Linked DNA regions of Mytilus edulis. The protein of the gene in region 2 purifies or fractionates together with the protein of the main gene of each other region. This does not show direct contact. Links are inferred from orthologs where the notes say so. Each region holds a gene or a part of one and is shown on either strand. Other genes may lie near its edges.

Region 1 (3,762 bases), on a different chromosome or scaffold from region 2:
TAATTTCTTTCAACACTGAGTTTACATTTTATTCTGTACTCGTAATACTTGTGTTGCATACAATTGTACCAAAACATTTAATTGATTTTATGACGACTACAAACCATTGCTTAGAAAGCAAAATAAATGTGGTGTAGGTATACTAGTAGTCTAACTGAAGACTGAAGAGAAATGCTGTCTACTATAAATAGGTTTCTAAAGCGGCAATTGCATGTATAACAGTGGTTGCCAATCAGGGATTTTTATTTAAGAGTTTGAAAAATAGTGTAGGATTCCTTATACAGCATGTATATACATTATACAAGCTTGTTTCCCACTAGCATATACCCCGCGGTATGAAAAACTCATGACGATGATTTCATATGAAATAAAATTTAAAAAATAAAATCCACCCGCCCCATTTTTTTCAAAAATTTGGATGAAAATCTTCTAATTAATTTTAGTTGGCCTTAATATCAATGCATGCACATCAAAATTGATGGCAAAGAATCAACAACATGTTAAAACAGTGACTTTTACAACATAAATTGGTTTATATAACTTAGATAAACCTATAAATTCAGAAAAATCAACATGAAATATTTACCCGCACTTGAAAACTACATGTTCCATCTCTAACTTTTTTCTCATCTTCTTGCCACTGATGTGGTTTTGAGCATTCTGGTACATGGTCTTTCTTTTTCCGAAAACTCAGTCTTTTCTTTAATCTTTCCATTACTGCAACTATTTTTCTAACAAATATTAATAATAATACTTTATTCCGAAAGCAATACAGCTTACATGTATAGGATACATACAGGGGTCGAAATTAGCGGCTCGGTGGTCCAGGACCAGTAGAATGTGCCTCGGACCTGAAGATTTTGTCAGCTGGTGGTCTTGTGGACCAGTAGAAATTTGTCGATAAAAATCACTGATTGCATCGCAATCTCTGTTTGTTTACAAAACAATTTATCTGTGAAATCAATTACACGGTACTCGGGGGGACAGGGGTATTACAATTGAGCAAGTTAATTAATATCTCGGGTGAGCGTCCTTCACAACAATAAGAAATTTTTGGAAGGAGTTAAACCGCTGGACAAAATAAATAAAACAAGTGAAAATCAAAAGGAAGATCAAAATAAAGTATATGAAATTAACAAAAGGAAACGCAAATACCAAATATCATGGGAAAAAGAATTATATTTATATTAGTGTTTGTCAAATGAATGTCATTTTAGCAGGACCAGTAGATTTGGAGCCGGACCAGCAGAGTTTTCAGTCCACTGGTCCGGCTGGCCAGTACACAAAAAAGATTAAATACGACCCCTGGATACATATACACAATTTTACACCAATATAGGAATTTTATAAGAGATCCATAACATATATAAATATAAAGGTGTGCATGAAAGAACATATAATACATAATACAAAATATGAGCGGAAAATGATATAATACTTAAATAAAGTGAGAACAAAAATATTTTTTACTGCAATTAAATTCCAAGTTTTTCTACAGACACCTGCACTAAGCTTGTAATGTCAAGCATATCAATTTATGTCAAATAAGTACTTATATAATTTGTGATGTTGACATTAGGGAAAGGCACAATGAGATCAAAGGCAAGGATTTTATTGCAACGCATATTGTTGTGTAAAATGTGCATTTTCTTTAGTTTTTTTCAATTTAAATAAATTAGTTTAGGTTGCACTTTGAAAATACAGCTGTTTCACAAACCACACTACTTTTGTGGAGATATATAATATTCATAGATATTTTATTTTGTTTACCTACTGGTTCACAGATATGATCTCTATGTTACATATTATAGAGACTTAACTTGGAAATGTTACATATATAGAATCACATGAATTGCAAGCAATTTGAAATCTGTGGAAGACCCATCCTTAAGGAAGGGTAGAACAGACTTTGACTTTAAAGTTTAAACTCCTGTAATTCGTGTCATATAAATATTAAAAATATGCTGCATAGCCCTATATTTTGACCTTTTAAAAAACTGTAGTGCATATAACCTATTCATTCTAATATATATTTTTTACGAAACTTCAATGAAAAACTGGTACGTAACAGCTGCAGTTCCTAAGGAAAATTGTTTTGTCCATATTTACAGAATTGCAACCTATAAACGTTACTGGCGAAAGGGATAAAAAATGGTCTACTGATATAAATTTAAAGCTAGTCTTTGACCACAAGAACTTAAAATCCATTCAACCACTGACATCAAATTTCTTTTACACATTTTTTGACAGATTTTGCTGCACCATGTGCACTGTCACAAGATACTGATCTAAAAATGCAACTTTTGATTCCAGACAATGATAAAGTGCCAACAAAATGTTTGACTATCAGGGTCATCCCTTATTAGAAAATGAAAAAATTCACTTAAAATTCTTAATTCACATTTATACCTATAAATACTTACACTTCAGTGTGATGGGACAAAAATTAGGTCATCAATAAATATGTATGAGTAATTAGGAGTTTTACATGATTACTCATATTGATTGACAACTTGGACATTCATAAAGCTGGTGTTGCTGTGAACACCTATAAATTATTGATTGGGGATAACCAAATGATGAGGAATAAAAAAATGTCTGCACCAACTTGTTAAAAATTTATGTCAATTTTATGGCAGCCATGTTTGTTTTCGTTTTAAACTCAAAGTGCAACAGTTTACATTTTATTTGAAAAATATGAGAATGTAAGGAAGCTTACCTTCAAGTTAAATTTATGCTGAAATTTTTTTATGTATTAGACTGCCTGATTTGTATACAAAGTGATTTAAAAGTTTGTGTACTGTAAAATTATCATTTTCATGAATGAACCACTGAGACAAGTGTCAATTTTCAACAATTTCACAGATGTTCTGGTCACATATCCACGGTTAAGATTGTTGTCCGTTTATCTAAAATTTCCAATTAAAGAAATTAAGCCTCCTAAGACAAATTTTATCATAAAAGAAGGTGTAAGAAGTTCCTAATTAGCGTGGGTAAATTTGTATTATCGAAACGGAAGTGGACTGATCCTTGGAGCAATGCAGTACGCATGTGTCATCGGAAATACCTTTCTAAGTAATAAAGGCGGGAAATATGAACTCGATTGAAAAAGAACAAGAGTTCACACACTGAAATATCTCGCCTTCTTAACTAATCATTGATATTATGTTGATAGTCCTAAGTATAAAGCTTTATTAGAACGGTCACATAAACTTAACATTAACCAAGATAGCTAAACAAAGACCAATGAACCATGAAAATGAGGTCAAGGTCAGATGAACCATGCCAGGCAGAAATGTACAGCTAACAAAGCTTCTATACAACAAATATAGTTGACCTATTACTTAAGAAAAATAGACCGAAACACAAAAACTTAACACTGTGCAATGACAGGGGCGGATGCAGGAATTTTCGAAAGGGGGGGGGGGGGGGGGGGGGGGGGTGCTAACCCAGGGCACCCAGGGCAAAGGGGGGGGGGGGGGTGCAAAACATATGTCCCGATACAAATGCATTGATCGGCAAAAATAAAGGGGGGGTGCGCACCCCCGGAACCCCCCCCCCCCCCCCTGGATCCGCCACTGAATGAACCGTGCAATTGAGGTCATGGTCAAATAAAACCTGCGGGACTGACATATAGATCATAATATATTTCCATACACTAAATATAGTTGACCTTTGGCATATAATATTAGATAAAAAGACCAAAACTTAAAAACTTAACTTTGACCACTGAACCATGAAAATGAGGTCAAGGTCAGATGA
Region 2 (3,762 bases):
CTTACCTTTATGATTTTAAATAATATAATAGATATTGTGCCTGTGATTTTGTTATTTCAATTCAACAAAGAATGTAAAATAATTTCTTCCAAACCAGATAATATTTAAGATATCCTTTATTTACAATGTTTCTACTGCTACTGTTGTCTTGTTCATGTGCATGGGTTTTTTACATTAAATTTGGGTCTTCGTCGATACCATACTTATTCCCGACGTTCCGTATTAGAGGACGTATTTGGCATTTCCTCTGCACTTCTTGTATATTTATTACTTCATCACGATGACAACAATAACAGTAGAGAGTATCATTAATTGATAAAACAAAACAACAATGCGCTGAAGGCATGTTTACAAAATGTCAAAACAAGCCAAAGACCAAAAAGTGACAAGGACAGTTAGTCTCCTTTTATGGAGACAAAAACTATATTCATAAAAAGGCTTTGGGGTTTTTCAATCGAAATAGTAGCAAGCTGAACTAAGTTAAAAGATAATAATTAGAGACAAATCTCGTCTGTACTAGCCAAATTTTACAAGTTTAAGGTTGTAAAAAATCATATCATGAATGATGGTTAATTACGTTTGTTGGGTTATCAGTTACACCCCATGGTTCTATTATTTCCATAGGAAAAAACACGAGACGTCCCAAAAATATATAGGTGCTCCTATCATTGGAGGAACATTACACAGTTTTGTACACACACATGGCGGCACGGAACACGATCGGAAATCCATTTGACAATATCTAAACGTATCGAAACGAAGTGAAAAATATCGTGCGCCACGTGGGCGCTTACATAAGTCACTCTATGCGCCATTTCTGGTCGATATGCGCTATAGGCACAGGGCGCACGACCTTCCCGATCACTGAAACTGTTGAAACCAAAACTCCCAAAATCAATCCCAACCGTTCTTTTGTGGTCATAAACCTTGTGTCAAAATTTCATAGATTTCTATTAACTTAAACTAAAGTTATAGTGCGAAAACCAAGAAAATGCTTATTTGGGCCCTTTTTGGCCCCTAATTCCTAAAATGTTGGGACTAAAACTTCCAAAATCAATACCAACCTTCCTTTTGTGGTCATAAACCTTGTGTTAAAATTTCATAGATTTCCATTCACTTTTACTAAAGTTAGAGTGCGAAAACTAAAAGTATTCGGACGACGACGACGACGCCAACGTGATAGCAATATACGACGAAAAATTTTTCAAATTTTGCGGTCGTATAAAAACATGATGATCATGACGTCCACATCGAAGGAAGAAAATGTAATTTGGGAAACAATGGAAAGCAAAAAAAGTTTCTTTTTTTTCTGAATGTTCCCTGCATCATCATGATCATAGTCATGCCTGTATCTTGAATAAATTGCAATGGAAAAGTTTGACGCAAGCTTTTTGTATACATGTATATATATTTTTTTTCAACATTTCCTTACTTTGTTGCTTGTAAATTATATATGTGATTAGTCATTGCGCATGAACAATGATGAATAATGCACTTGGATTAAAAACACAGATGACCTATTTGTTTGATTGATTTTCACAACCATTTAAGAAATGATTGTGAAATTGAGAATTTATAAGTAAAATTGAGTTTTCATAGTTCAATTCAATTCAATATCTTATTGGAAAGAGCACAATAGAGGCGTGATCCAAATACACCTTATCGCTAATCCCGGCTGACCTGGCCGCTTCAACTTTTGACGCATACAACAATCACTTTTCCATTGTGGCGTCAAATATTTTGTTTTATGACGTCAAAATTTTACGGGAACCTGTGTGATATCCAGTAATGGCGGACAAATAGCGATAAGGTGTATACAGACAAATATAATATTAAAAATCATAGAGACTTAACAATGCTATTGCTAAACATGCTAAAGAACTGTACAATTAAAATTTGATGCATTTTTGAATTAACAGCTGAAATATATTTTTATCAAAACATTAGCATAATGATTAGGTGGGCATATTACTTTAGTGAGAAAACACTGATCCCTTACAATTTAGATGGTGAAAAACACGATACAAATACTGTGCATGCTGAGTGTAGATCTAGCATGGTCTCAAGATTCCAGTAGTTTTGATGTCAGATTTGGACAAATGCCCCCTGCCTTTGCTGTTAGGTTGCCGTCTTGTTGTTGTATATCCCATATCTTCGTTTACCTTTAGTCTTTAGAAGTGTAGAAAGTAGGCGTTTTATCAGCGATACCATGATCAGGTTAATCAAAATACAAATATACCGGAAACCAGCAGTATGTTTATCAAACATGAAATATTGATAGCAGAAAAAAAACATGGTAGTTGACTCGTTATATAGTACTGATGAATGAACATTTTACTTCTACTGGTTTTTTTCTGTCAGATTATGACAGATATTAAAAATTATGTACTCGTAAGAATTGGGAATAATGTATGTTTATTTATTTTTTCAAGGTTTGGTGTATAGTTTGCATGCTATTTTTGTATAATACAAATAATACCTTCTTATATTTGATGTAATATATCGTTAATATCTGTTGTAAAGGTTTTTATACTGAAAACTCATTCAATAGGAGTATCATCGGCGAAACATGTCCGCCATTTGCATGTCTAACGTCAAGTCGAGGCTGTGAAGACACCCACCAAATTTATCTGCTTTCGTCCTTAAATCGGTCGACACTATATTCTTTCGTCACAAAAAAAATAATTCTGTAATACATATAAATCGAATTTACTTTCGTCTAAATGAATAATACAAATCAGGAATGAAGAATAAATTGCACCTATTTTGACAGTTTTTTTCAACTACGTTTTTTTATGATCAAGACAAAAATTTCTATTTTGTGTTTATTTTGTAGCCGTATCCTTCTTTATCATATAGGTACACCAATTTGATTTTCAATTCATATGGAATCATAGAAAAATTGGTCTGAACTAACCTCCAAACCATCAATGATTCTGTAATGAGGAGTACCCAAATTGCATCCATGCAAGTTAAATTCGCATCTTCAAAAGTCGAATAACAAAGCTTTTGTTTATTTTTTTACAAATATTTTGAACAATTGGATATTTGTCGTTGCTTACTCTTCTTTTTTCAAGAAATGGATACTTGTAACATATTGTATTTGCTAATTTTAAAAAGATGACGTTGCGATGACGTAAACACTTCATCTGTTGATAAATACTGTGAATGTTTTGTGCATATCTAAATATTTTTACATATTTTGAAAGACAAGCACAGTATCAAATCATAAAAACACAAATTGTTTAGTCTCTAGGAGATCTTGTAAGATTTCCGCTGCTATTTTTGCTAAATAGGTGCAATTTGGGTACTCGTTGTAATTTGGGTACCGTTACGTTAGTGTTTGTCTTTTTACGTGAATATGAAAAAAGATAACATTATTAATATATAATATACCCGTCCTTCTTCTTGTTTCCACCCTATAATATTCAGTGCGACAGTGTCACGACATTAAACATAATAAAATTAGCCTAACAAATAACTTACCTTGTTAAAAAATATTTATATATGTTAGGCTAAAATAAAAAGGAAATAAAAATTCAAACGAGAGACAACTTGTATTTACACAGTACCGTGACAAGAAATTAAAAAAAAGCGTATATTATTTAAAAATGAATCAAACACATTAACTAATAAAATCAGTGAAAATATATGCAGTTTTAACAAAAAATCCACTTTTTGTAATACAAGTCTTGACGATTTATCAATGACTGAAACAATAGATATGGGGTTTTTAAACCGCGTGGGAACCTCAAGTTTTGG

What was found. The genes of interacting proteins can lie anywhere in the genome.
Region 1: the proteins of AP-2 complex subunit alpha-2-like (region 2) and protein numb-like purify together in Drosophila melanogaster (affinity purification with western blotting; 5 studies listed by BioGRID). This does not show direct contact. The link is inferred for Mytilus edulis from reciprocal best matches to the Drosophila melanogaster genes AP-2alpha and numb.

Annotation. Positions count from the first base shown.
Region 1 is NC_092346.1:36,947,178-36,950,939, reverse strand, and holds the start of protein numb-like, read right to left. Parts: upstream 3,037-3,762; 5' UTR 2,720-3,036; intron 732-2,719; 5' UTR 716-731; coding exon 587-715; intron 1-586.
Region 2 is NC_092350.1:91,494,841-91,498,602, reverse strand, and holds the start of AP-2 complex subunit alpha-2-like, read right to left. Parts: upstream 2,618-3,762; 5' UTR 2,480-2,617; intron 1-2,479. UniProt on the Drosophila melanogaster protein: Adaptins are components of the adapter complexes which link clathrin to receptors in coated vesicles. Clathrin-associated protein complexes are believed to interact with the cytoplasmic tails of membrane proteins, leading to their selection and concentration.